Macaca fascicularis: one gene and its partners. The protein of the gene in region 2 purifies or fractionates together with the protein of the main gene of each other region. This does not show direct contact. Links are inferred from orthologs where the notes say so. Each region holds a gene or a part of one and is shown on either strand. Other genes may lie near its edges. The genes, in order: RAD18, LLGL2, PARD6B, DCAF1 and PARD6G.

Region 1 (5,592 bases), on a different chromosome or scaffold from region 2:
TAGAATAGTGCCTGGAACACAATACATATTTGCTGAATGGCTGAGTGCAACAGTGTAATGTCAGACCCTGTGATGGACAGAGAACAAAAGTTAATCTAGCATCACTGTACTTACGTTCAGTTGCTAACAAAAGGATCACCTCACAATGTAGTATAAGGATACCCCTATGTGACTCCTATCAAGAGGAAATCATTAAAGATGGTAAAACTTATAATATTACCCAGAATCTTGGTCAGTAGGAAGATAAATAATGAGAAAAGGCTAATCCCCTAATGAAGTAGCAGCAGGAGCAATATGTGACTGGGGATAAGTGTGAAAGTACTTTTCAATTCTTTCAGTGAGTAATGAGTTACAATGATCAGCCTTTGGATTAACCCATTTTAGTAAATTGACCCAATAAAGTTTACTCCATATTTCCCTCAGCCATATTTCCTTTACCTTTTTTATTAAACCCAGAGACTACTGCTTGCTCTCCTAGTTCCTCGGCCATGGTATACCTAAAAGCAATGACATTTTCCCATAGTCCTCTCATAGTTCAGTGATGCCAACAAGTCTGAATGAGGCTAGGACATCAACAAACTCGCCCCACTTCCCATATTCTCACAACCAGATAAAGACATCTGACTGCCCCACGTTTCCCTTTCAGTTTTTGCCATTCTCAAATGTCCCAAATCATTCTGGCATTCCAAAACATTCAAGCATCTAATGACTATGGTTAAAATCTAACTCTTATTCCCCTGACTCTGATTTTTTTTTTTCTGTATTCCTACATGTGTGTTTAAAAACAAATACTGCACTGGACTTGCAGGAATGGCCTGATCTACGATAACAAATCACGCAACCCTATGTTTTACCCTCAGTCAACTAGAAATATAATTTTTTGATCTTGAAAATCTTTGGAATGAGATGGGAAGATTTCTCCTTCCTAATACTTCATTCTGACTAATTTGAAACTGTTTCCCAGGTATCCTACAAAAACAGAGGGTCACTGGGTATACTAATAAAAAATGTACTAATAATTCCATTAGTTAGATTAGAAATAGTCTATCATTCTACAGCAATGTTACTAATTTTTAAATAAACTAACACCAAAGATCAAATAACTTCCAAGACACACTCATATTGACATACTGCTGGTAGCATTTTTTAAATCAGTACAATTCATTCGGAAGGCAATGCCTACCTATCAGAATAATAAATGTAAGAAAAGTGGCCAGGCATGGTGGCTCACGCCTATAATCCCAGCACTTTGGGAGGCTGAGGTGGGTGGATCACTTGAGGTCAGGAGTTCGAGACCAGCCTGGCCAACACGGTGAAACCCCATCTCTACTAAATATACCAAAAAAATTAGCCAGGTGAGGTGGCACAGGCCTGTAATCCCAGCCACTTGGGAAGCTGAGGCAGGAAAAATGCTTGAACCTGGGAGGTAGAGATTGCAGTGAGCTGAGATTGCGCCACTGCACTCCAGGCTGGGCAACAGAGCAAAACTCCATCTCGAAAAAATGAAAAAAAAAAAAAAAAAAAAGTATTCAATAGGAACAAAGGAAGAGCTTTACCATAGCATCAGGCACGTAAGTAGAACACTGGAAAAAATGCAGAGCTCTAACAGAAACTGAAGGGTCTGGTAAATTATGGTACAGAGACATAACAAAATACTGTACTCATTTAAAAACAACAATTATAAACATAAGGTATTATGTTGGTGCAAAATTAACTGTGGTTTCAATTACTTTTGTGCCAACCTATAGAAATGTTAACATTTATGACATATTAAGTGAAAGACCAGAAAAAATGGTATGTGTGCATGCATGTGTGTGTGTAAAATAAACCCTATATATTTTTAAAATATCTTTTCAAAATGACTCATTACCAAACTTCTCATTTTTAAAGTTTCCCCATCTATTTACTCAGTTAAATTTTTCATTTCTTAACTCTCCTATGTGCCATGTCTTTCTGATCATCTCTGTTTTCCAATACAGTTGTTTTTATCTCCTTCACTCATTGTCTTGACAAAAATTTCACTGCCTATCATGCTTTCTTTTCCAACGGTAGGAAAAATATCTATAAAAAGGCTATAGAGCCTTTTTATATCTATAAAAAGGCTATATAAAGCCTATACCAAACTCACCCTCTGATCCCTGTACTTCCTTCCCAAATCCTGCCTTGTTACCACTGTGAAGATGACCCAGCAGTAAAAGGGGACTGAAATGTAAGAGTGACACACCATACCATGCCTCAAAGCTACTTTCTAATTATTTCTGCCTAACTATCTATGTGTGCATATGAGGTAGATATTTAAAATAATCAACTCCTGCATGTTTCTTACCTATTGCATGAATCTGATTCTGGTGAAGAAAGAGCTTCTTGAATATCAGTACAGCTAGAAGAATCCTCTTCTCGGTCAGGTTCCAATTCCTCTGCGGAGTCCAGCTTTGATTGAGAAAAGTGGTTTGTTACCAGCTTTGATTGAGAAAAGTGGTTTATTACTGAGGTCATATTATCTTCCTGTCCTAGGAAAAAATAAATTTAAGAGTACGTTAAAATCTACAACTTCTGTACGCCTATTACTTCTGCAACACTTAATACTACCATATGCACTTAGTAAAGTTGAAGAATATGTCACATTGATTCCAGAACTCTAGTGACAGCCAGAGAGCAAGAATTAACACTACAATGGTGCTACCTAATTATACTATCCAGCCCATGTTTTTCCAAGATTAATTAGTTTAAAAATAAAATTTATTTTAAAACCAGGAGCAGGAAGAATCTTGTAATTCTAATGAGGCATCTATTAACATATCACTGAGGAATTCTTGCATATTTCATAGATCAGAGAACACTGACAAACCAACGTAAGATGTATAACCAAAAAAAAAAAAAAGACTACAGATTCAACTAATAAGACAACCACAATATTTGTCACTACTATATGATAGTGAATCTATCTGGACATTTTTCTAAACCTGTTAAATAGAATCTAATTATTCTCTATGGAAAAGGACAACTAATCAGACATAAGGAATATTTCCATTTGATCCAATATACATCACATTTCCATGCATTCTTTGTCATATTCTCAGCTTTTAAGGTCTCTTATTGCAGATAAAAATAAAGACCCCAAAAAGCTGGAAGGATGCAGTGTTTACAAAAATGTGGCATATGGGAATGGCCAATTTTCTACAAATATGAGCGAGAAGAATATCTGCGAAAGATTCTTTAGTGCCCAGGATTCTCCTACTCATCATAAACTCTGCTGGGATTTTCATCTGTGCTGTCCTTAACTTTCAGGAACTGAGGAGGTACTTTCGCATGCAAGCTACACGTGCTAATAATAGTACAGAGCTCCTTTCATGTGTTTCCTCACAGAGAAACAGAGCTTTCACACATCACTCCTCAAGCACTTGTAGAGGCAAGTGGTCTTCAACGAAGCACAATAAAAATACAATTGTCAAGGTTTGGTTATACAGAGAGAATTTATGGGGAAAGAACATAACACATTCTTCAAAAAACCTTGCCAAGTTCACACAGTCAAATTTTTTTCAGAAATAGTTCTAAGTTTTTGTTATAGCGGGAGAACAGCATACTTCACAAGAGTATAATTCCTAAAAATATGCTCCTAATGTCATCTGGCTATCAATAAACTATCATTAGCAAAACAAAACAGCACCCTCTAAAGTATATCTGGAAAAGAGAAAAAGAAGTTAGCCAGGATGACCATCCTGAACCTCTAAGAACTCCTCTTGTAAACAGATACCAGGATCACATTAAGAGGAGCCAATCCCCCAGTCAACTCGGTTCACCCAGGGACTATATTACTCAACTAGTGAGGCGCATGCAAAAAAGCAAACCAGGGAACAGGAATTCAACTGAAAACAATCTTTTATTTTTGCACATTGTCTGTATTCTTTTCTTACTTCTTCCACTCTTACATACACTTCTAGACAATATATTCCTTCTTGGGGACAAACAGCATTCAATAATCTGTAGGCATAAAAAATAAGTTATCCTTCCTACCTGCCCTTAGATCTCAGAATGCAGGACTTCAAAATAGAGCCTCAGGAGTGAGGCTCAGACATCAGAGCTCCCCAGAGACACACAACAAAAACAGGCTAAGTTTTCACTTGAGAGAATATGCAACTTGTTCACTTACATGAGCACTTCAATGTTTGTCCTAAAGAGCAACAATTATATTGGTTGTATGATGCTATACAAAATTCATCTTTTTAGTCAGTCTGTGTCTGTCTTCACCTCTCTCACATTCCTTACCCTCTCAGACATCTCATTCATGCACAGCAATCTAAAAGCAGCAATCACCTTTGAACCCCAGAAAGAGTAATACTGATGTTCATAAATACATACAAGCCATCAATGATATTCAAGAGAGGTTCAACTAATAAAAAAAAGTTTTCTTAATGGGAAATATTCAGTCAGATTTTCTCAAGTGCTAAACTAGTTTCTAGAAATATCCTTTCACAATTGCATGAACAAGTTCGATTTGTTCAAAGACCATGAGTTACATACTGAGGCAGCACCTTATGCACAAATTGTTTATTAGTCACTAGGGAAATGCAAATCAAAACCACAATTACATATCATTTCACATCTACAATTTTAAAAAAATTTAAAAATCAGAAAATAACAAGCGTTGATAAGGATGTGAAGAAACTGGAACCCTTATGCTTTGCTGGTGGGAATGTAAGATAATGCAGCCACTACGGAAAAGTTTAACAATTCCTCAAAAGGTTAGACATAGAACCAGTATATGAATCAGAAATCCCACTCTAAGCTGAAACTTAGATATTTGAGCATCAATGCTCATAGCAGCATTATTTATAATTACCAAAAGGTGGAAATAACCATAACAGATAAATGGATAAACAAAATATGGCATATACATACTACAGAATACTGTTTAATCATAATAAGAAATTTTAAAATATGCTACAACACTGATGGACTCTGAAAGCATTATGCTTAGAGAAAGAAGTCAACACACAAAGAAAATATTATACAATTCCATTTATATGAGGTACCTGGAATGGGCAAACTCATAGACACAAAAGGTGGAACCGTTATTACCAGGGCTATGAGGCAGAGGGGACGGAAGAGTTGCTATTTCATGAGTGCAGAGCTTGTGCTGGGAATGATGAAATTGTTTTGGATATAGACATTGGTGATAGTTATACAATATTGTGAATGTATTTAATGCCAATGACATACATTTATGAAGGGTTAAAAAGATAAATATTGTATTATATATATTTTGCCACAGTATAGAAAAACATGATAAGGAATTTTCTTGCACACTTTCCCCCATTATGATTCTTTTTTGTTCACTGGTCCAAAGCCCAGGCAATAGAATTAAAATATTAATTTCAAATTTTAAAATGGATCAAAGTTAAGGAATGTGCTCTGTATTAGCCTACCAGTATATTAGCTTTAGACCGTTTGGCAGAACATTTCATCCAAAGTAAACACCAGTGTTCTATCACAAAAATAATTCACTCTCTTACAGGATCTCTCAGGATCTCCACCAATAAATTCTACACCTAGAAAACATCCTCAAGCTTAAATAACTAAGAAATTTATGAT
Region 2 (5,592 bases):
CTGTGCTTGGGACTCTTGTTCTGAGAAGTTCCCCCAAAAAACTGGGTGAGGGGAACCCTGCTGTGTGGCTTTGGACAAAGCCTTTACCCTCTCTTGCCCTGGAGTTGGCTTCAGAGTTGAGCATCCTGCACCTGAATCCAGGAGGCACCGGGGGTGGGCCCTGCCCGGCGGGTGAAACACTGACCGTAAGGCACGAGGCTGCGGAGGGGCTCTGGTTGCTGGGCGTCGCTGGACACGGGCCACTGGCAGTAGCTGCCATCGGAGTGACAGCTGACGAGTAGGCGGCCGTCCCGCTGCCACCAGATGTTCTCCAGTTGCTATGGAAGAGGAGGAGAGAGACAGAGGGCAGCACGCTGGACCGAGGCAGCATTCCCATCATCTGCACCCCATGCCTCTGCACAGAGCGTGGATGTGCCACATGGGGCTCTGGGAGAGCAACATGGCGCCCGCCATGTCCTGGGCACTGCCTACCTGGCTGCTGAGGAAGTGGTAGAGCACACGGCTGCCCTGCAGGTCCCAGATGACAACAAGACCTCGGCTGTAGCCGATCAGGATCTGGTTGGGGTCTCGAGGGTGCTCCTGCAGCGCCTCCACCATCTCGAACACCCGCCGGTGGCGGGCCTCCTCTGGCAACCTAGACGAGGGGAGTGCCGTGAGCCTCCGATGCCATCCGCCAGGGAGAATGGCCCCCGGAATGGCACAGCCACAGGGCTCCCTATGCAGAGGTGGCTGCTCCATGTGCCAGCATGGAAATATGGCTAGGGGCTGGGCGCAGTGGATGGCTGAGTGTGGTGGCTTATGCCTGTAATCCCAGCACTTTGGGAGCCCAAGGTGGGCGGATCACTTGAGGTCAGGAGTTCGAGACCAGCCTGGCCAACATGGCAAAACCCTGTCTCTACTAAAAATACAAAAAATTAGCCGGGCGTGGTGGCACATGCCTGTAATCCCAGCTACGCGGAGGTGGAGGCAGGAGAATTGCTTGAACCCAGGAGGCAGAGATCACAGTGAGCCGAGATCACGCCACTGCACTCCAGCCTGGGTGACAGAGTGAGACTCCATTTCAAAAAAAAAAGGAAAGATGGCTAGGACATGTCACCAAGGGGATAGGGGGCAGCATGTAGAACAAGACAGGGACATGGAGACAACCTCCAGTGATGTAAATACAGGCGGTACAACTATAAGGCAAGGCAAGGCAGTGACTTCTGGAAAAGTCAACGTGGGGGCAAGAGGGAGCCTTGACTAGGAAGGGTGCGTGAGGCCCCCGGAGGGCATCAAAGTTCTATTTCTACGTCTGGGGGGATGGCTGTAAGGATGCTCTACAAAAATCTGTTAAACTGTACATTCATATTCAGTGCATTTTTGCAAAAGGGAGTGTTTAATAATAAAGAAGTTTTTTAGCCCCATAAAACAAAACTCTATGAGTTGGCCTGGCCCTGGAGCCTTGACCCCTCCCCCGTCTCCAGGCCTGGAATGCTGACCTGAGGGCTGGAGGTGTTGCAGCCAACAAAAAAACCACAAGGCAGCAGGCACAGGACCAACAGCCAACAGTGAGGCTGTGGGAAGCGGACCCAGCCTGGACCCAAGCCACACTAAACCCAAGCTCTCCACATTATCTATACCTGGCACATCTACTGCTAGCACTGACCTCACTGACATTAGAATCTGAATCGAGAGTGAGAGTTGAAGGGGACTTTAATATTTAATTTTTTTTTTTTGAGATGGAGTCTCGCTCTGTTGCCCAGGCTGGAGTGCAGTGGTGTGACCTCAGCTCACTGCAACCTCCACCTCCCGGGTTCAAGTGATTCTCCTGGTTCAGCCTCCCAAGTATCTGAGATTACAGGCACCCACGACCATGCCAGGCTAATTTTTTGTATTTTTAGTAGAGACGGGATTTCGCGATGTTGGCCAGGCTGGTCTCGAACTCCCGACCTCAGGCGATCCACCCATCTCCGCCTCCCAAAGTGCTGGGATTACAGGCGTGAGCCACTGCACCCGGCCTAATTTTAAAAATTTTTAGAGACAGGATCTCATTCTGTCACTCAGGCTGGAGGGTAGCGACCTGATCATGGCTCACTGCAGCCTCCAACTCCTGGGCTCAAGTGATCCTCTCACCTCCCAAGTAGCTAAGACCACAGGTGTGTGCCACCTTGCCCAATTAATTTTTATTTTTTTGTGGGGAGAGACAGGGTCTTGCTATGTTGCCCAGGCTGGTCTCAAACTCCTGGCCTCAAGCAACCCTCCCATCTCAGTCTCCAAAAGGGCCGAGATTACAAGTGTGAGCAACTGTGCCCATCTAGATATTCTTAATAAATGCAAATAATGCCCTTATACAGATGAAAATTGTTAGACAATTAGAGGGCTTCCAACTTTTTGCCATTAAAAACAGCCCTACAATGATCATTGTTATCCTGTATCTTTTCACAGAGACTTCTCAGAGACAGAGCTGCAAGACTAAAGGGCTGGACGTTTTAAAAACTTAGATGGCCGGGCGCGGTGGCTCACGCCTGTAATCCCAGCACTTTGGGAGGCCGAGACGGGCGGATCACGAGGTCAGGAGATCGAGGCCATCCTGGCTAACACGGTGAAACCCCGTCTCTACTAAAAAATACAAAAAACTAGCCGGGCGAGGTGGCGGGCGCCTGTAGTCCCAGCTACTCGGGAGGCTGAGGCAGGAGAATGGTGTAAACCCGGGAGGCGGAGCTTGCAGTGAGCTGAGATCTGGCCGCTGCACTCCAGCCTGGGCGACAGAGCGAGACTGTCTCAAAAAAAAAAAAAAAAAAAAAACTTAGATAAGTGTAATCAAGTGGATGAGAATGTAAACTGCCAAAAGGGGCCAGGCGCGGTGGCTCACACCTGTAACCCCAATACTTTGGGACGTGGAAGTGGGTGGATCACCTGAGGTCAGGAGTTCGAGAGCAGCCTGGCCAACATGGTGAAATCCCATCTCTACTAAAAATACAAAAACAAGCCGGGCGTGATGGCGTGTGCCTGTAATCCCAGCTACTCGGGAGGCTGAGGCAGGAGAATCATTTGAATCTGGGAAACAGAGGTTGTGATGAGCTGTGATCGTGCCACTGTACTCCAGCCTGGGACAGAGTAAGACTGCCAAAAAAAATGTTTTTTTTTTTTTTAATAAATAAACGAACTGGGCCAGGCGCTGTGGCTCATGCCTGTAATCCCAGCACTTTGGGAGGCTGAGGCAGGCAGATCACCTGAGGTTGGGAGTTTGAGACTAGTCTGACCAACATGGTGAAACCCCGTCTCTACTAAAAATACAAAATTAGCCGGGTGTGGTGGCGCATGCCTGTAATCCCAGCTACTTGGGAGGCTGAGGCAGGAGAATCGCTTGAATCCAGGAAGCAGAGGCTGCAGTGTGCTAAGATCGTGCCACTGCACTCCAGCCTGGGCAACAAGAGTGAAACTCCATCTCAAAAATAAAATAAAACATAATACAAAATAAAATAAACTGGCAGGAGGAGCTCTCAGGGCACATGGGCCCCCCTGCCAACTAGACTCTCACCAGCTAACTACAGGGTGAGGCTAGGCACTGGTGTGGCCACCTGCTGGGGTGCACATCCCATGCCATCCTGCCCACAGGCTGTGTCCCATTGTGGTACTTGTCATCCTGCAAAGTGTTCTGCTCTGACCTTGGGCACAGAGCCCTACCCTGCTGAACCGGAAAGGCAGAGGTCTGCACTCAGAGGGATATAGCCCCAAGTGGGATCCTCCCAGCCCAGCAATGCCCTGCCCTGGGTAGATGGTCCCTGCTTCATTACCACCCAGGGCTGGAGAGATGGGCTGGCCAGCTGCAGGAGTGTGTCCTGGGCCCAGTCCAAAGCCTTGCAGGGCCAGGGGCCAGCACCCTGGCCTCCTCCTGTCCCTTGGAACCACAGATCATTCCACCACAAGCGACCTGGCCCCCACACGATCCTGTCAGACGCTATCCCCTCTTTTTTTGGGTCCCATCCCATTCTCCACAACCGGACCTGATCTGACTCCCTCTCTATCATAGTTCCATCGACAAGCGGAGCAAAGCTTCTGAAATGATCTCAACAGACCCACATGCCTGTGGCGGTCAACGCTTTTTAGCCACGGAGCCTGCGAGCAAATGGAACCTCAGCAAAGTGCCCACAGCACAGGGTGGCACCAGGAGCTGCTCTAGTAATGCAGGGAGGTCTGGGCCCGACTTCCCCGCTATGGAGCCCCTGGGGTTTTGAAACCCATGGCAAGTGCAAATGACACTGGACTGAGAGTCGGTGACATTACACAGTCATTTGGGGCCTTTAGATCCCCCAAAGTCCCCTTTTTAGTGCTATGATGCTAACCTATGATAGGCCAATAGGTTCTCAGTAGGGGACAGGTAGGAAGCCAAGAGCCTCCCCTGCTAGCCCCATGGAATTCCCAGCATAGAAATGACAGCTCCTGAGAGAGTCCTGGGACCAAGGGGAGAAGCCATGCCTAACTTGAGGGGATGGGGTTAACAGCAGCCGGGCTCTGGGCTCACCGCTGCAGCACCGCGTCCGAGCTGATGGTCCGGTCCTCCAGCGCGCGAAAAGCTGGCAGCTGCACCACAAACACGTTGCCGCTCTCGGTGCCCAGGTACAGCAGTTCGCACAAGGAATGGGGCAGGACCACGGTGATCTGTGTGGCACTGGGGGCAGCCCTGTGACAAGAACAGCTGCCTGTGAGCTGACCGCTGCCCAGCAGGGGAGACCCCATGGACAGGGTCTCCTGACTCCTGGGAAAACAAGCCCATAAAAATTCATGGGGTTCATGACCTTTCAGCCCAGGACAAACACTGGTCACTTTCTGCCAAGACAGGAGACAGATGGCAGAGAGGCTGGGCTAGGAGGTAGGAAAGACGCCAGGGGCCCTCCAGCATAACACGGGGTGTGGGCGGATGGAGGAGGTGGGCTGCGGCCCCACCCACTCCACTCGGAGCACCTGAGTATGGGGATGCATCGGGTCAAACGCATGCCAGGCACTGCCAGGGGCGCAACAGGCCCCACGAAGGGTGAGTCCACTCCAGAGCTAAGGGCAAGGGTCAGGCTGGGCTGGGAGTGGAAGGGGCTGGGGACTGAGCCCTTACCCTGGGGGGCCACGCAGTGTGAAGCTCTCATCCTCCTGCAGCTCCGATGCTCCGCCCTTGACCTTCAGGCTCCAAAGGTGCAGGCTGTTGTCATCCAGCAGGGTGACCAGCTGGCACTGGCGAGGGCACAGGGATGGGAGCATGTGGTCTTGCTACCCAGCAAGGCCTTTACACACTGGGGCCGCCCAGCCTGGGCTGGTTGTTTCAAAGACCCCCTGGCCACTCCCAGCGTGGCCCACGAGCCCCACCTGTGGAAAGGGAGGGGGTCCCAGGCCTTTCCAGCAGCAGCAAACCCAGGGCCACTGAATGCCAGCCTCTCCACACCAGCCCTGCTGGAAGCAGTGAGGGCAAGGAGGGTGTGGAGGTGGCTTCCTGTCCCACCCCAGGTCCCTCACCTGGCCGGGCAGGAGGTGGATCTGCGTCACTGCGTTGTTCTCCCGGTGCAGCCCCATGAACTCCACGCCCGGGGCTCCATAGCTACGAGCAGGCTCAGGAAAGCTCTG
Region 3 (6,355 bases), on a different chromosome or scaffold from region 2:
TACTGCTCCCAGGGTGTGGCCCTGCCAATGAGGGAGAGGAGGAGGAGACCTAAGAACAGAGCTCTCTAAAGGTGGTGACATGGTTTCCAGTCCAGCCATGATCAGAGTGTGGTCTCTGGGAGTCCCTGAGACCCTTTTACGGGGGTCATTGAAAGGCCAAAACTGCTTTCACAAAACTAAGACATCATTTGTTCTCCACATTCTCATTGTCTCATGAGTATACGATAGAGATTTCCAGAAGGGACGAGACATGTGATGACATCATCACTCTGATGACAGTTGGAATGCATGCTTGTGTATTCCCATGTTTTAGATACATCCGTTTTAATTTTTTTTTTTTTTTTTTTGAGACGGAGTCTCGCTCTGTCACCCAGGCTAGAGTGCAGTGGCCGGATCTCAGCTCACTGCAAGCTCCGCCTCCCAGGTTCACGCCATTCTCCTGGCTCAGCCTCCCGCGTAGCTGGGACTACAGGCGCCTGCCACCTCGCCCGGCTAGTTTTTTGTATTTTTTAGTAGAGACGGGGTTTCACCGCGTTAGCCAGGATGGTCTCGATCTCCTGACCTCGTGATCCGCCCGTCTCGGCCTCCCAAAGTGCTGGGATTACAGGCTTGAGCCACCGCGCCCGGCCTCATCCGTTTTAATTCTAAGATAAATACTGAAAGACATAACACATGAACAACGTACTTTGGGGTCCTCCATGATTTTTAATAGTGTAAAGGGGTCTTGAAAACAAAAAAGTTGGGAACTGCTGTGCTAGTCCAAACAGGGGAGTTACAGGCCCTGCAGTTTCCCTGACACGCACTTTATTTCCGGCTGAGCTTTAGTCACCTCCTATGTGCTTTCGAAGCTGCCTAGAGAGGCAGCTTGCTTATTTATTATTCAGCTTGGATTGGTGTCCTTTCCACCTGTGCTGCCACAGGTGGCCAGAAAAACCTTAAATTCCCCCATAAACGTCTGGTGACCTAAATCCTCCAGGGGGGGGGGGAAAAATGAGCTTCTCACCTTTGAACCCAGGTGACGCAAAGAGCCTGCAGAACGGACACCCTCAGCTGCAGCACCCAGCAAAGACACATCTGAGGACCCGCTGGGAGCCAGGTTCTGTGCTACTCAATGCCAGCAAAGCACAAGCGGTCCCTGCCTTTGGGAGCTTTCATTCTAGGCTGGAGGCGGATTACTCACAAAACTCAGATGCACACAAAAATGGGAAACCTGGAACTTGTCACAAGTGCTGGGAAACAGGGGTACAAGTGTTGGGAGGCATCCGGGGTGGGAAGGGAGATGAGGGGAGGAAGGTATCCTAACCACTCTTCTTGCCACATCTCAGGTTGGACCTGCCCCTCCACCTCCATTTCCACAGCCCCCTTCCTGGCTTGCAGGTTTCAACAGCTCTTGGATTCCCAGGTCCCACAGGGAGCCCTTGGGACCTAGGAATCTCCTCCAGCCAAAATCTTCAGTCTTCTCCTCGCCTCTCCATGACCAACAGGGTCTGTGTGAAGAGAGGCCGGGCTTTGGGACGTTCAGAGAGGAGGATTCAGCGTTTTGTTGCTCTGGGACACAGCTTGGTCACTCCGGGAAACGAACACAACCTAGAGGCTGTCATTTGTAGAAACAGCGAATGGCCAAGGAATGGCGGGAGAAGGGAAGAGGAAGACTTAATAGGTTTAAAGAAAAAAATAAATAAATAAAACCCGGAAAGACCGGAGTAGAGGCTGGGCCTGCAAGGAGCCTTCCCGCGCCTCAGCCCACTTTCCTTCCCTTTCGACCTGACGGACTTAGGGTGTGCAGGGTGTCTCTTCGGATAAAATCAAGCCAAGAGAGCCCTAAGCTTCTCCCCCAGCAACTGCTGCAGAGGCGGGAAAACTTGAATTTTGTAACCAAGAGTTGCAGCGGGACGCCTAAGCGACGATAAGGGGCAGTGGAGGGGCGTCGTTGGGGGCTGCAGCATCCCAAATTGGAAGCGGTGAGGGTGACCGGCGGGAACCGAACAGCCCCGCGGGGCCTCTGCAATCGGTCGCGCGGCGCATCCCATCCCCGGGCAGTGCGTGTGACTGGCGCGCGCCAAACGGCGAGAGCCCCCGGCGGCGCGGGCAACGAGGCGCGCACCCGCGCGTGCGCAAAAGGCCCACCCAGCCGAGCCCTTCTTCAGGTGCGCTCGCGCTTCCGGCCGGCCTCCCCGCGTGCCTTCCCGGGGCGGAAACTCCAGAACCCGCGCATGCGCCTTCTGTCTCTCCGGCTTGATGCGGGGCGGAGGTCCATAGCTTCAGGTGATCCCGCCCCTCCCTCGTAGCGCAGGACCAATGGTGCGGTGGTAGGCGGGGTTTTTGAGGAGGCAGCCCGCCCACGCACCGCGCGAGGCGTGTATCGATTGGTTGGCGCCGCGGGCGCAGGTGCGCGCTTCCTATTGGGTGTGGGCGGAGCGCGAGCGATTGCGGCAGCTTCGGCAGCTGCAGGTGAGCGCGCGCGCGCGCCGCGGCTGTGGCTGGCTCGGGTGCGCGCGCGCGGGCTCGCGGGGGAGGTGGCCGAGGGAGAGGTTGCGGCGCCTGTGGCCTCCGCTCCGCCCCCTCCTCCTCCAGCGCTGTCGCCGTCGCCGCCGGGGCCCGGAGGGAGGGAGCTGCCTCCCCGCCTGCCGCGCCGCCAGTCCGACCCTCGGTCCCGCTGTGTGAGTAGCTGGCGGAGTGGAGCTCAGTGCAGACGCAGGAGCTGCGGCCGCCCCCTCTGCAGGTGCCTGTGAGGAGGCGCCCGGGCCGCAGCCGGTTTCCGAGACCTCCGGTCGCGCACTTGCTCCCCGCGCTCCTGAGGGACCGCCCGACCGGAGGAGGCCGTCGCGGAGTTCGGCGCTCAGCATGAACCGCAGCCACCGGCACGGGGCGGGCAGCGGCTGCCTGGGCACCATGGAGGTGAAGAGCAAGGTGCGCGGGGCCCGGGCTGGGCGGAGCGGCGGGCCTGGAGGGCCGGGGCCTGGGAGAGGCTGGGCCAGGCTCTAAGCGCTGTGGGAGGCGACGGGCAGAGCTGCCCCGGGGTCTGGACGGTGCGGGCGGGAGACTGTGGGTAATAAACTTGCCAAGGAGGGGGCGGCGGGGATCGGGGGGCGCTAGTGTCCGCCCCTGGCCCCGGCAGGGAGAAGACCTAGTCCAGCATTTAATCTCATTCCGTAAATCTCATTCCCGTGTTCACGGACGGGAGTAGGGGCCAAGGTATACCCGAGGATGGCACACACTGAGTGGAATGCGAGGCGGCTCAAAAGGTGTAGGAGAATCCTGCCTGCTGGGCTGTGAGTGTGGGCCCTGGACCACCCCGTTGTTCCCACTTTCTGTGGTTCAGGGGCGCATCGAGCGGCGAAGGAGAGAGCCCAGTGAACTAAACAACCCTTTAAAAGTTCGCTTTGCTTCCTGCTGGCGCTCTTTGTAGCACTAACTTTGGTATGCATTTAATCTGTAAAATTAGCACTATCACCTTACGTTGGAGTAGCACTTTACAGTTTGAGTCTAGATGCTCTTTTCATTCCATCCTGCTACCTACTCACATCAAGTACTTTTCCCCTTGACCAACGGTATGCCAGTCTGCTGATTACTGCGGTATTCACTGAATTTCTAAGTCTCAAGGCTCGGTGAGCAGGGTAGTCTGTAGAGAGGGATTAGTTAGGGAATGCCTTCCAAAGGGGGTTTTGAGGTGGAATTTGAAGGTGATGGGCAGCCACGGGAACATTTTCAGCAAGCGTTTCTTGAGTTAAAGAGTTAAAAGGAGCTTAGATAATCTAGTCCAATTCTCTGAGAAGACTGAGGCTCAGAAAGGTTATGACTTCCCCAAGCTGCTTTTTGCAAAGCCTTCATGCCTTTTTAACAATAACTTTTAGGCACTGCAGAATACAAAACAGGACACTGGCTGGGCCCTGAGAACATTTAAAATAGAATTGAGAAGGCCAAAACACAGAAAAGGAGAAAATTGAAAGTACATCAGTTAAAAAAATGTAATGGAGCATCGTAGATGGTAAGACTACCAAGGAGTATGTAAAATGAAGGAGTGATTTGAGTGAGGTCCAGTGGAGTGAGGAAAGCTTCCTAGAGCGTCTGGGTAGAATGGTTTTGTTGTCTAGGGTTGATAAGCCAAGTTCTGTTAAGTTTCTGTAACTGAGAATCACATCGAGAAAATCTACATTCGTTTGTAACATCATTAAAAAAATGCGATTTGAGGCAGGACGCCGGTGGCTCACGCCTGTAACCTCAGCACTTTGGGAGGCCAAGGCGTGTGGATCACCTGAGGTCAGGAGTTCCAGACCAGCCTGGCTAACATGGTGAAACCCCATCTCTACTAAAAATACAAAAAATTAGCCGGCCGTGGTGGCACATGCCTGTAATTCCAGCTACTTGAGAGGCTGAGGCAGGAGAATCGCTTGAACCCAGGAGGTGGAGGTTGCAGTGAGCCAAGTTCGCACCATTGCACTCCAGGCTGGGCAACAAGCGCAAAACTCCATCTCAAAAAAAAAAAAGATTTGGCACTTAACTCATATGAGGATTGGCACTAGTTTCAGAATTAGTAAGAATAGAAGTGTAGTTATAGCAATTTAAGGAATGTGCACGTCCATGTGTCCTCTGTGCACAGCATAGCAAATTGAAGTGACTTGCTTGAGCTATAGCGTTAAGATGACCCAAAATATATAGCAGAGCTTTTCCACTAGCGGTGTATAGTGGCAGTAGTGGTTCCATGCCCAGTGGTTGAACCTTCTTACGGCATTTCTGTTATAAGTCTGGTTTGGATTTGTGGGTGTTGAGGTTATGGAAAGAAAAACACTTGTGATATTGCATCGTCTTAAAATTTTAAGTTTATAGCACTAATCTTGGTAGCAAGTCTTTAATTTTTTTCCATAGAAAAAAATGAGTAGGAATTCTAAGTATACTGATCAGTACAATCAAACAGTAATTTATCTCTAGTACTAAGAAAACCTTGAGTGCTTTAAAACTGGAATTTCAGGCTTTTTGCCTTTCTCTTGTCAACTGACTTGTGAATCTTTCACTTACTTCTAAACTACATGTTGTATATTTGAACTGCCATACTGCGCTTTTAGTGAACTGTGTCTTTTAAATAGAATCATACACTGATTCTAGGAACATGTGCTGAATGAAGTCGGTCCCACTATTCTAGCTGTTGACAAATAGGCAAGGTATAGGTAGGGAGTGTTTCTAATGTGTCTGTGACACCTTATATGTTTCAAATATATATTGCTGATACATATTTTAAAAATATTTGGACAGATTTTTGAAACAGTATTTTCTTTGACATTGCTTTAGTGATATCACAGCTTTTTACGAAACTGATTGCTAAGAGTTTATAACCAAAACTAGGTAGTGTGCAGGTCCTTTTTGTTTTGTTTTGTTTTTGAGACAAGATCTTGCTCTGTCACCGGGGCTGGAGTACAATGACACGATCTCGGCTCACTGCAGCCTCAACCTCCTGAGCTCAAGCGATTCTCCCATTTCAGCCTCCTGAGTAGCAAGACTATAGGCGTGCGCCACTACACCCAGCTTATTTTTATTTATTTATTTTGTAGAGACGGGGTCTCTCCATGTTGCCCAGGCTGATCTTGAACATGTGAGCTCAAGTGATCCGCCTGCGTCCACCTCTCAAAGTACTGGGACTACAGGTGTGAGCTACTGCACCTAGCTGGTCCATTTTTGTTTTACTATTTTTAATTTTTTTATCTTTTTAGAGACAGGGTTTTGCCATGTTGGTCATGCTGGTCTCTAACTCCTGTTCTCAAGTGATATGCCCACCTAGGCCTCCCACAGTGTTGGGATTACAGGTGTTAGCCACCCCACTGGGTTCCGGTCCATTTTTAGGATCTCTTTTTCTTCATGTAAAGCAGTAGTGTTGGCCAGGCACGGTGGCTCACACCTGTAATCCTAGCACTTTGGGAGGAAAAGGCAGGTAGATCACCTGAGGTCTTGAGTTCAAGACCAGCCTGGCCAACACGGTGAAACCCTGTATCTACTAAAAATGTAAAAATTAGCTGGGTGTGGTGGCTCATGCCTGTAATCCCAGCTACTCTGAAGGCTGAGGCAGGAGAATCGCTTGAACCTGGGAGGTGGAGGTTGCAGTGAGCCGAGATTGAGCCACTGCACTCCAGCCTGGGTAACAGAGGGAGGGAGACTCTATCTCAAAAAAATAAAAAAATGCAATAAAGCAGTAGTGTCAACATTGTTATCTTCACACGTGGAAGGGAAAAATAGTAATGATAATAAAAGAATGAAGAATGTAAATATACCTATAGTTCAATTTGTGGTACCAGCTAGTATGTGACTTTTCTTTGGTAACTGATTTATCTTCCTAATTGTATCTCTAGGGTTGGGAAGATTCTTA
Region 4 (6,060 bases), on a different chromosome or scaffold from region 2:
AAATAGGCCAGGCGTGGTGGCTCATGCCTGTAATCCCTGCACTTTGGGAGGTCGATGTGGGTGGATCATCTGAGGTCAAGAGTTCGAGACCAGTCTGGCCAACATGATGAAACCCCGTCTCTACTAAAAATACAAAAAATTAGCCAGACGTGGTGGCAGGCGCCTGTAATCCCAGCTACTCGGGAGGCTGAGGCAGGCGAATCGCTTGAACCCGGGAGGCAGAAGTTGCAGTGAGCCAAGATCGCACCACTGCACTCCAGCCTGGGCGACAAGAGCAAAACTCCATCTCAAAAAAATATTAATAATAATAAAGAATAAAAAAATATAAAGGCAAGGCGTGGTGGTTCACACTTGTAATGCCAGCACTTTGGGAGGCTGAGGTGGGAGGATCACTTGAGCCCAGGGGTTTGAGACCAACCTGGGTAACAGTGAGACCTTGTCTCTATTATTTAAATACATAAAGGAAAATATAAACTTATAATAGACTTAATAATAGCAATGTGAATTAATTTAGTATCAATGAAAACAGTCAGCAACTGGGTGTGCTGGCTCACACTTGTAATCCCAGCACTTTGGAAAACCTAGGTGGGCAGATCACCTGAGCCCAGGAGTTTGAGACCAGCCTGGGCAACACATGATGAAATCCTGCCTCTATGAAAAAAATTTAAAAATTAGTAATAGTAGTACCTACTTCAATGTTTGTTTTTTAGTTTTGATTTTTTGTTTTGTGAGACGGAATCTCGCTCTGTTGCCCAGGTTGGAGTGCAGGGGCGCAATCTCTGCTCACTGCAACCTGTAGTTCCAGCTACTCAGGGAGGCTAAAGCAAGAGAACTGCTTGAGCCTAGGAGGTGTAGGCCACAGTGAGTCATGACTGCACCACCGTACTCCAGCCAGAGCAAAAGTGCGAGACCTTGTCTCAAGAAAAAAAAAAAAAAAAGGCTGGGCACAGTGGCTCATGCCTGTAATCCCAGCTCTTTGGGAGGCCAAGGCAGGCAGATCACCTGAGGTTGGGAGTTTGAGACCAGCCTGACCAACATGAAGAAACCCCGTCTCTACTAAAAACACAAAATTAGGCCGGGCACAATGGCTCACGCCTGGTAATCCCAGCACTTTGGGAGGCCGAGGCCGGTGGATCACAAGGTCAGGAATTCGAGACCAGCCTGGCCAACATAGTGAAACTGCGTCTCTACAAAAATACAAAAAAAATTAGCCAGGCATGGTGGCACGTGCCTGTAATCCCAGCTACTCGGGAGGCTGAGGCAGGAGAATCACTTGAACCCAGGAGGCAGAGGTTGTGGGGAGCCGAGATCGCACCACTACACTCCAGTTTGGGCAACAAGAGCAAAAAGACAGTCATCTTCACCTTGTTATGCCCAAGACAGTGAGGATGCATTACTCAAGTTCTTAAGTGAGTTATTTAAGTGCTATGAAGAAATGATGGTCTGTCCAATGGTGACACATAGTTACCAATTAGTGAATATCTAGTATGGAACAGACATTGAGTAAGTAATTTACTACACTTACATTATTCTGAATTTTCACAACCATCCTACCCTTTTTTACACATGAGGAAACAAGCTCCGAGAGGTCCCCAAGACCAGCTAGTACTAGGTAGAAAAAGTATTTCAAGGATTCAAATCCCAATTCTGCTGACATACCTGTGAAGTCTTGGTTATTTAACTTCTCCAAATCTCAATTTCCTTATCTGTAAGATGGAAACAGTTGTTGTGCGGGGTTAAATGACAATATTGTCCCCATGGTGGGATAATACAAAGCCTCAAGAAATACTTATGTAAAATTTCCTTATCCTAACAAGTGTCTGCTAGCGTAGTCCACAAAATAAATATATAGATACCACACACAAAAACAGAAAAAATATGGCATAATATTAACAATTGTTTGCCGGGCACAATGGCTCATGCCTGTAATCCTAGCACTTTGGGAGACTGAAGTGGGTGGATTACTTGAGGCCAAAGTTCAAGACCAGACTGGCCAAAATGGCAAATCCGCATCTCTACTAAAAATAAAAAAATTAGCCAGGCGTGGTAGCACACACCTGTAATCCCTAGCTACTCCAGAGGCTGAGGCATGAGAATCACTTGAACCCGGGAAGCGGAGGTTGCAGTGAGCGGAGATCATGCCACTGCACTCCAGCCTGGGCAACAGGGCAAGACTCCGTCTCAAAAAAAAAAAAAAAAATTAAAAACTTGCCAGGCACAGTGGCTCAAGCCTGTAATCCCAACACTTTGGAAGGCCAAGTCGGGAGGATTACTTGAGGTCAGTTGGGCAACATTTCGAGACACAGTCTACACAAAAATTTAAAAATTACCCAATCATGGTAGCCTGTGCCTGCAGTCCTAGTTACTCAGGAGGCTGAGGCAGCAGGCTCCTTTGAGTCCAGGAGTTAGAGGCTGCAATGAGTTATGATCACACTCGAGACCATCCTGGCTAACACACTGAAACCCTGTCTCTACAAAAAATTAGCCGGGCGTGATGTCAGGCGTCTGTAATCTCAGCTACTCAGGAGACTGAGGCAGGAGAATGGCGTGAACCTAGGAGGCGGAGCTTGCAGTGAGCCGAGATCGCATCACTGCACTCCAGCCTGGGCGACAGAGCGAGACTCTGTCTCAAAAAAAAAAAAAAAAAGGGTTATGATCACACCACTGCACTCCAGCCTAGGCTACAGAGCAAGATCCTGTATCTAAAAAAAAAACAGTCTAGGTGTAGTGGCTCGTGCCTGTAATTCCAACACTTTGGGAGGTTGACAAGGGAGGATCACTTGAGTTCCAGACCAGCCTGGGCAACACAGTAAGACTACTGTCTCTACAAAAAATAAATGAATAAAAATAAAAAATTTAAAAACTGTATAATAGGCAGAACAGTAAAACACTGTACTCAGCAACTACCCAAGAGGTACTGAGCAAAAAATGATTTCCCTACACTCCCCAAATTCTCTATTATCTCAACATCCAAATATATATACCTACTCAAAAATGGGTAATGAATAACTGCTATATAGAAAACCCAAATGTTCACATCATTAAGAAAAATACTAAATCGATTCCTAAAGTCTACATATACACACATAAACATTAAAGGTAAACTCCAGTAAGCTGGAAAAAGAAAATGAAGGATATTACCAATTAACCTCTCATTCTGTACATTAACAATGCATTTTGAACAGGAAGATGCTACTAACATAAAAAATTAAAACGTGTAAAGACTAATTAAAAGGCTTCATCGAAAAAACAGGGTAAGGAAAAACCGAGACCAACATGACGTGGCCAAGGACAAGTCATTTCTGACTCAAAAATAACTAATACAAACACTCCAAAACTATTTCCTCAACAAATGGAAAACCAGAGCGCTGCCACTGCAGTAAGAGGAAGCCAGACAGAAAACCGTCTAGGAAGTGAAGTTGTGAAGCAAACGCTTCTGAAACCCCAGTTGAAAACTACTATAACCCCCGGAAACAGACTCCCGGGAAGTTTGGCGGGCACTCTGAGGTTTGACTCCAGGCTGCGGGACCCGCACACCTCTTTCCAACCCTTCCCTTCTTCATGGGGATGAGAGGAGTGACCAGAAAGCTCCGCCCCCGTCGCAAGGTCCAAGAGCCGGGCGGGTGCAGGGAGAGGTGGCACGAGGCCGAGAGACTGGAGAGCCCGCCCAGGTGACTGGAGCCGGAGGCGGAGACACAGTCCGTGAAGGGGCCCGCCGTATAGTACGGAAGATGGAGCCCCCCCAAGCCCGTACGGAACAGAGACTAGGAAGATTGGAAGGGAAAAGATGACAAGGGATATGACATGCGCCCCTCCCTCCAGGTAGGGGCTGACACACCCCGCCCCCCCACTCCGGGCGGAAGAGTTACTCTCGGGAAGCTTCTCGTGGGGAGTGGAGGAAGAACGTGGAGGCCCCGCCCCCGGGACAAGAATCAGGAGGAGGAAAAGTCCTGTCAGGCCCCGGGCCCAGCCTCCCGGCTGACCGGCCCGCCCCCTCCTCGCCGGCGGCCCAAGCAGGTGCCGCCCCTCCCCCAGCCCGGCGCCCACTCTGCCGCCCGGCCAGCCACGCGCCCTGCCTCCTCGCGCCCCTCCCGTAGAGTCGCCTCCCTCCATTTCCCACTCACCGTCCGAGGCGGCTCCGCCACTGCCCCCCCGCGACCCCGCCAGTGGCCACAGTTCACACACACAGCCTCAGGTCCCGCACTCACTCTTCACTCACATACACACACAGCGCGACCACGGCTCCACAGCGGCCCACATATTATGCGTCACTCGCGCGCTACGTGCACCGCGCGCGCGGGCGCGCGCGCCTACTTGGCGCGAGGACAGTGAGCAAGGGGCGGGAGGAGAACGCCTGCACGATCCGAGGAAAATCGAAGAGCCCCGGGGACGCCTGGGAAATGAAGTTCCGCGTCTAGGGGCGGGCCCACCAGTCCCAATTGACGCATGAGCTCTTCGCCCCGCGCATTGACTTCTGGATTTGTAGTTTTTTTGGATAAATGCGAACTGCTGAGTACTCATTGGCTGCTTCGGAAAGCGGAAGTGAAAAGTGAGGGAGTCAATCCTTCCAAGACAGTACTATAATCGCCTGATGCTTTAGTGTCTTGTTCTGACCTGTGTGCGCAAAGAGCCTCTGTTTTATTCGGCTATTTGCCTCATCTTACCTAGAACATACCGTGATCTAAGAAAATATTTTCTCATAAACATATCAGAAATCACAGCACTCATTAAAACAGAAGGCACTAGTTGTTTTTTATGTGTTTGTTTTGAGACAGAGCCTCGCTCTGTTGCCCAGGCTGGAGTGCAGTGACGATCTCAGCTCACTGCGACCTCCGCCTCCCGGGCTCAAACAGTCCTCCCACCTCAGCCTCCAGCTGAGACTACAGGTGCATGCCACGACACCCAGTTAATTTTTGTTTTTGTTTTGTGTGTGTGTATTTGGTAGAGACATGGTTTCACCATATTGGCCAGTCTGGTCTCGAACTCCTGGGCTGAAGCGGTCCACCCACCGGGGCCTCCCAGCCTCTTTGTTCTCCGTCTTTTTTTTTTTTTTTTTTTGAGACAGAGCCTCGCTCTGTCACCCACGCTGGGGTGCAATGGCGCAATCACAGCTCACTACAGCCTCAACCTCCTGGGCTCGAGCTGTCTTCCCACTTCAGTCTCCCAAGTAGCTGGGACTACGGGTGTGCACCACCACACCCAGCTAATTTTTTAAAATTTTTGTAGAGACGGAGTCCCACTGTGTTGTCCAGGTTGGTCTTGAATTTCTAGGCTCAAGTGATTCTCCTGCCTCAGTCCCTCAAAGTGTTGGGATTACAGGTATGAGCCACTGCGCCCAGCCTCTCTTTTTGTTCAAGACCTAGCCTGTAGGAATCAATAGATACTTATTGCCAGGTATTATACGTGAGGCAGAGAAGTGAAAAATCAAAAGCTCATAGATTGAGGCAGGACTGACCTCACAGGTCACTTAATTCAATTTCTTCATGTTATTGGGAAAAATGAGGCCCAGAGGGAGTGAGTGACTTGCCCAGCATCACACAACCAATTAGCAGAACCAGAAGACTCCTTACTCCGACCAGCGGTCCCTTTTGCGGGGCATAGAAGATAAACATGACTCCACATTTGAGGAGAATCTTGACCTGACAAGATCCTACCCAACCTTCAAGGCCTTACGCAGCTCATTATCTCTCTGGGAATGCTGAGCAAGTCTCCGTGCATTTCCATGAGTCTTCACGGACAATACTGTCACATGAACACAAGACACAGCAAGCCTGCCGCTATGCTCAGTGTTCCACAGCTAGTAAGGAACCTGAATCCTGGTTCCCTTGGTTTCACTCCCCACTAGATCCCATTTCCCTCTTTCCAGAAAAGAGACCATCCTCCTTCTCTTAAATGTGTACTCTACTGTGTGCTGGGAGCGCCACAGACATGTCACCTCTCTTCACTTCTTTCTCCTGCAACAACACACAGCTTTCTTCTCTGTGCTTCTGGAACTTTGCCTCTATCAGTAATGGCCACTACCATTTCTTTCAACTTTAGAGCATGCTGGGCTCTGAGCCA
Region 5 (5,592 bases), on a different chromosome or scaffold from region 2:
TAGTATTTGTTAAAAACCACTAAGTTCCACATGACTTCTTATAGTTGAAAATGAGAACTGCCAGGGACCATTCTAGAAATGAAGATTAGCATGTACTGTGACTTACAAAAAGAAACGTCTGTTTCAAAAAGCAAAGATGAGAACTCACATGCAAATGACTGCTTTCTCAAAGCCCTTGCTGGCCGTGTGCGATGCTTATCCTTCATTTCTGCTGAAAACATTTCAGAAATTGCCCTCGGAGTCTGTCAACCCACGGGAAAAGGGCTTAGATCCCAAATGGGACTGCTGAGCCCAGTCCAGCAGAGCTGCAGCAGAGCCCACCCTGGATTCCCCCTCGAGGCTGAATGGGCCATCTCTGTGGGTCACAAAAATAGTCCCTGGTCCGGTGCAGTGGCTCACACCTATAATCCTAGCATTTTGGGAGGCTGAGGGACGGATCACCTGAGGTCAGGAGTTCAAGCCCAGCCTAACCAACGTGGTGAAACCCGATCTCTACTAAAAATACAAAAATTAGCCGGGTATGGTGGCACGCGCCTGTAGTCCCAGCTCCTTGGGAGGCTGGGGCAGAATCGCTTGAACCCAGGAGGCAGAGGTTGCAGTGAGCTGCGATCACTCCAGCCTGGATGACAGAGCAAGACTCGGTCTCAAAACAAAAAACAGCCCCGGAACAATTCCACAGCTGCGGATGCCAGAAATGTGCTGGTGGGAGCTCTCCTGCCCCAGCCGATTTATGACTATGAGCAGTGTGAAAATCTGGATTTCATCTCCGTGGTTGTACCTGTGACAGGTTTGGGTGTATTTCTTCTTCGTTTTTTTTCTCCCCCCCAAGACGGAGTCTCTTGCTCTGTGGCCCAGGCTGGAGTACAGTGGCCGGATCTCGGCTCACTGCAAGCTCCGCCTCCCGGGTTCCCGCCATTCTCCTGCCTCAGCCTCCCGAGTAGCTGGGACTACAGGCGCCGCCACCGCGCCCGGCTAATTTTTTTGTATTTTTAGTAGAGACGGGGTTTCACCATGTTGGCCAGGATGGTCTCGATCTCCTGACCTCGTGATCCGCCCGCCTCGGCCTCCCAAAGTGCTGGGATTACAGGCGTGAGCCACCGCGCCCGGCTGCATTCGTTTTGAAAAACCAGCCTGTCACATACATCAGCACAGCCGGCCTCGCCTGCAAGTCAGCAGAAAGCACAGCAAGAATGCTGAGACATATTTTGCATGGGCCAAGTTAAAAACATGAATTTGACTATTTTTAAAAAGTAATTTTAAAGCTTCACTTTAAAAACAAAGTATGCGTAAAAATTTTTTAAAGCATTTGTTTACACTTGGTCAGATCTTTTCCATCACTTGGCAAAGGCGCGAAGAGCTGCACTCAGGCCTGGTACAGAGTTGTCTTCAGGCATTCATTTTAAGTTCGTGGCGAAATTCGATAAAAATAGGCAGTATTTGTGTTTCTATATCCAGAAGTTGAAACAAAGAGCTGAGTTGTTTTTGTGGTCAGAAAAACAACAACAAAGGAGGGGATGCAGTCTGCAGGTCCTGTCCCTGTCCTTACCCGGGAACTGGAGCCAGGACTGGGGGGCCTCTCAGTCTAGAGCGTGACCGCGGGCCCGTGCTCCTCCACGCCGCCCGGTGGCAGGGCCAGGCTGTGACGTGGGTCGGCCCGCAGGGAGCTGAGCAGCCGCTGGAGGCCGCCGTCCAGGGCCAGGTCCCGCTGCAGCCGCTGCGCCAGGCCCGCGCCGTTGACCCGGGAGAGGCTGCCCGCGGGGGCGCCCGGGGCCTGGGGGGGGCGTGCGGGCTCCAGCGTGCCCTCGATGACCACGTCGTTGTCCTCGTCGCTCTCCGCCTCGTCGGGGTGGAAGTTCTGCAGGACGCGCGGGGCGGGGGGACCCAGGAGGCCCGCGGTGCCGTCCGAGGCGGGTCCCGAGCTGCCCAGCGCGCGGCCGCCGCGCACCACGTTGTTGCGCTGGTTGGCGGGCTTGACGGTGACGATGAGGTTGTGGCTGTTGGCGATCATCATGTCCGTGACCTGGTCCAGCGTCTTCCCGGCCACCTCAATGCCGTTCACTTCCAGGACCTCGTCGTTCACAGCCAGCAGCCCGGTGCTCTCCGCCAGGCCCCCGGGGACCATGCGCGAGATGAAGATGCCGGGCACCTTCTCCAGCCCGTGCGGGGTCACGCGCACGCTGGCGCCGTCGCGGATGTAGAAGCCCAGCGGCTTCTCGCAGCCGTGCCGGTGCAGCCGCACTCGCCGGTGCGTCTCGGGGACCAGGTCCACATCGATGATGGACGACACGGGGCGGAAGTCGCGCGGGAGGCCGATGTCCAGGTGTGCGCGCCGCCGGGGTCCTTCGTCACGCAGCGCGCCCAGCGCCCGCCTCCGCCTGCACAGCGAGCCCGCGCCGAGGCTGCCACGCTCGGCCTCCTCTGCGGGAGAGGGGACAGTTAGAGGGACACACACCGAGCCCCGCCTGGGCCCTCGGCCGCCACCTGGCACTGCTGTTCCATCTGCGTGACGCCGAAGCACCCAGGTGCACAGGAGCGTCCCAGACCTGCAGGCTGGGCGGAAATCAGGCAAGCTCCAGTGCCGTCCCCTAAAATTAACTCTCTAGCGCTCTCCTTGCTGCTCCACAGGCACCAAACCAAAGGACTTACCGACTAAAAGGTGCTAGCAGGCACCTGCAGCAGAGAGAATCAATGGCAGAGGAGGGTTTGGGGCCCGGCGGACTGGCGAGTGCCTCAGCCTTCTGGGAGGCAGCAGGCTGGACTGGGGACTTCTTAAGCTTTGCCCATTCTCCCATATTTCCTTCTCTAAACTGTAAGATGGAGGCTCGTCTCTTTTTTCCTAAGGTTAATTACAACTAAGAGAGACCTTTCCTGCTGCTGCTTTCCTTTCTATGTGCAAGCCCCACCACGGTGTCTGCTAGTCAGCATTCAAGGCCCCTGAAGGTGTCGCTCAGTCGGGCGTGTGAGCATTTCCCTGCATTTTGGGTTAGCAGCTGATGAGGGGAGACAAGTGGACGAAGGAGTGGGAGCAGAGGACGGCTGCTTCCCTTCTGTGGGGCCCCACACACTGTCAGTGGTATCTGTAGGTAGGTGAAGCCTGAAGGCTGCACGGCTCCCTTCCTCAGGGACGCTGTGGGACCCGCCTGGCCACACCTGCCAGCCTGTGGCATGACACATTTGTGGCAGTGTGGAAACTTTACCCTAGAGTCGGGCTACTGCAAAATAAAAGTCCACTGAATTAATCAAGCAGAAACGTTGTAAGGAACTTAGTGTAAAGTAAAAATTTTAAGTGAAGACACTGGTGGCATTTGGAAACTCTGAATAAGGCATTTTCCTTGAGTCAGAAAAAAAAATCTTGTTTTATTTAATTTTTATAGGAAGCCTCTTTTGTTTTTGACACACAAGGGTCTGTAAAACAGGTGTCTTGGGGAGCAGAGGGAAGGGCTTGCTCTGCGAGGCTTGGTCCTGTGGAGTTGGTGGCATCCACAGCAGCCTGCTCTTTGGGCTGGGGAGGCTCACATCTTTGCTTTGCCAGTGAAAGCCAGGAGGGCTGGGAGCCCAGGCAGAAGCAATGCCATAAACAGGCGCTCCTCAGAGCAGAGACCTCCAGACTCCAGGCGTCAGTCTGGCTTCTGCCTTTCAGTGAGCAGGCAGGGCCCATTATGACCTGCTTTGGAGATGGGGAATGCTGGGTGACAGTTCTGGAAAGGACTCGAAGGCAAATTACTTTCACCATGGAGGCAACATTCAGGCAGCCTGGAGGGGAGGCCAATGCTCAGGCATCACCTCTCTCAACCCAGCAGAGCCCATGGCTGCCTAGACAACAAGAAGGCCCTAGCACAGGCTCTGGAACATGCTGCAGGCAGCAGGGTTAGTGCACCCTGGAGCTGGGATGCCTCAGCATGAGAACTGTCTTCCTGGGAGCTGCATCCCGGCCAGCACTCCACACAGCTGCTCAGTGACGGAAGCCATCCATCATCCCTTATCAGCATCATTTATTACCCACGGACACAGTAAGGTCTGAAAGGGCTTTAGAAATAAGATGACTTTTAAAAACTACACCTGTAAACCCTGTTTACCCTGATGTGATTGTTAGGCATTGTATGCCTGTATCAAAATCTCATGTAACCCATAAATATATATACCTAATATGTACCCACAAAAATAGAAAAATAAATTAAAATTACAATTGTAATACTCCTTTCCAGCTGTGACCACCTTTCCTGCACACTCACACGTACACATGGATATGGTTGTCTGTGCTTGTTTTATAGAAACAAGATCTCAGTTTCTGGCCAGCACCCGGCCTCTCTGCACCTCACAGACTCTGCAAATGCTTACTGGGTGACTTCAGGGATACAGATGAGTGGATAAAGTCCCTGCTCTGAAGTAGCCATGAAGCAAGTGGGAGCAAGAGATACAGACTGAATTTTCCATACAGCCACACGGAGAGCACCGTGAGACACGATGTGCACAGGATACGATGGGAACAGTGCAGGGGCATCTGGGGAGGTGGCAGTGACGCTGCCCGGGGGGTGTGGATCCACAACAGAGTTGAAGAGAAGACGCCGGAGGGTGAGGGGCTCAGACTCTTTCCGTGATGAGGAGAGGCTGAGCCTTTAGCGTTCGTCTGGTCTGGCTGCCGCCGCAGGTTTGGATTAACCAAGGGCCTGGGACAGAGTGGGCTCTCCCTGGACTAAAAGCTAAACCTGAACAAAGGCATCTGCCTCATGGTGTGCTCATTCTAAGTGGGAGGGAATGTGGATCCACGGGGCCACAGATGGAGGTGTGGCAGCATCCGAGGCACAGTGCTCTGCCTGTTTTCCATGATATGGGCTCTTCCCAAGGGGTCTCCTTGGATGACAAATCTATGCACTTTCAAGAGGGCAGCCCTTCTGGCAAACTCATGCCTGCAAGAACACTGTCGTGCATGTGGCCATCCACATGCTCCTCCCCGGGGACAGGCCCTGTGCTCGGGGCTGTGAGCAGCAGGGCCCAGGAGAAGAGACTGAGGTTTTATGCAGGGCAGGTGAGGCCTGACTGTGATGCTGAGGGTCGGGGAGTAAGAAATGGTGCGTGTCCATGCGCGAAACAGCCTGGCTGGCTGTCCCACACACGGGCAGAGTACAGTGAGGCCTGGCCTGGGAGAGGTGACACCTCCTGTTCCAAGCATCCTCTTTCTCTCTACCACTGACTCAGAGTTTCAGATTCAATTTCACCTCCCTCCGGGAGCCACTTGTCTTCAAGTCCCAGTTCACAGCCACCCATCCCGGGAGCCCCACCCCTGTTCCGCATAGTGCATTCCCTTCCACCAAAACCACAAACCTGTCTGCGTCACAAGGGCCAGGCGACAGCATCTCAGCCATCCCCACAGGGCAGCAGGTGCTCTGGCCGCAGTGCACGGTGGACCGGATTAAGGCTTAAGCCCAGAACTGTGGGATACAGAGAAGGGCACAACGGGCCAGCCCCCTTCTCGTAAGGGGCTTATAAATCACAGGTAGACCAGGGTTCCCTGCACCAATAAAAGCAAGTGTGTGGACCTCTGCTTCCCGGGAGTCATGTAGTCCTTCCCATCCCTCCTGCTAAGTTCAACAA

What was found.
Region 1: the proteins of LLGL2 (region 2) and RAD18 purify together in Homo sapiens (affinity purification with mass spectrometry; 3 studies listed by BioGRID and IntAct, counting the BioPlex papers as one, with this or other methods). This does not show direct contact. The link is inferred for Macaca fascicularis from reciprocal best matches to the Homo sapiens genes LLGL2 and RAD18.
Region 3: the proteins of LLGL2 (region 2) and PARD6B purify together in Homo sapiens (affinity purification with mass spectrometry; 7 studies listed by BioGRID and IntAct, counting the BioPlex papers as one, with this or other methods). This does not show direct contact. The link is inferred for Macaca fascicularis from reciprocal best matches to the Homo sapiens genes LLGL2 and PARD6B.
Region 4: the proteins of LLGL2 (region 2) and DCAF1 purify together in Homo sapiens (co-immunoprecipitation; 3 studies listed by BioGRID and IntAct, counting the BioPlex papers as one, with this or other methods). This does not show direct contact. The link is inferred for Macaca fascicularis from reciprocal best matches to the Homo sapiens genes LLGL2 and DCAF1.
Region 5: the proteins of LLGL2 (region 2) and PARD6G purify together in Homo sapiens (affinity purification with mass spectrometry; 4 studies listed by BioGRID and IntAct, counting the BioPlex papers as one, with this or other methods). This does not show direct contact. The link is inferred for Macaca fascicularis from reciprocal best matches to the Homo sapiens genes LLGL2 and PARD6G.

The regions. Positions count from the first base shown.
Region 1 is NC_088376.1:147,159,058-147,164,649, forward strand, and holds part of RAD18 (E3 ubiquitin-protein ligase RAD18), read right to left. Parts: intron 2,511-5,592; coding exon 2,327-2,510; intron 1-2,326. UniProt on the Homo sapiens protein: E3 ubiquitin-protein ligase involved in postreplication repair of UV-damaged DNA. Postreplication repair functions in gap-filling of a daughter strand on replication of damaged DNA.
Region 2 is NC_088390.1:81,958,527-81,964,118, reverse strand, and holds part of LLGL2 (LLGL scribble cell polarity complex component 2), read right to left. Parts: intron 5,567-5,592; coding exon 5,485-5,566; intron 5,206-5,484; coding exon 5,090-5,205; intron 4,664-5,089; coding exon 4,505-4,663; intron 635-4,504; coding exon 472-634; intron 318-471; coding exon 185-317; intron 1-184. UniProt on the Homo sapiens protein: Part of a complex with GPSM2/LGN, PRKCI/aPKC and PARD6B/Par-6, which may ensure the correct organization and orientation of bipolar spindles for normal cell division.
Region 3 is NC_088384.1:106,833,551-106,839,905, forward strand, and holds the start of PARD6B (partitioning defective 6 homolog beta), read left to right. Parts: upstream 1-2,637; 5' UTR 2,638-2,844; coding exon 2,845-2,910; intron 2,911-6,355. UniProt on the Homo sapiens protein: Adapter protein involved in asymmetrical cell division and cell polarization processes. Probably involved in formation of epithelial tight junctions.
Region 4 is NC_088376.1:114,508,908-114,514,967, forward strand, and holds the start of DCAF1 (DDB1- and CUL4-associated factor 1), read right to left. Parts: upstream 4,252-6,060; 5' UTR 4,125-4,251; intron 1,707-4,124; 5' UTR 1,660-1,706; intron 1-1,659. UniProt on the Homo sapiens protein: Acts both as a substrate recognition component of E3 ubiquitin-protein ligase complexes and as an atypical serine/threonine-protein kinase, playing key roles in various processes such as cell cycle, telomerase regulation and histone modification.
Region 5 is NC_088392.1:851,627-857,218, reverse strand, and holds part of PARD6G (partitioning defective 6 homolog gamma), read right to left. Parts: intron 2,419-5,592; coding exon 1,583-2,418; 3' UTR 1,547-1,582; exon of another isoform or gene 1-1,546. UniProt on the Homo sapiens protein: Adapter protein involved in asymmetrical cell division and cell polarization processes. May play a role in the formation of epithelial tight junctions. The PARD6-PARD3 complex links GTP-bound Rho small GTPases to atypical protein kinase C proteins.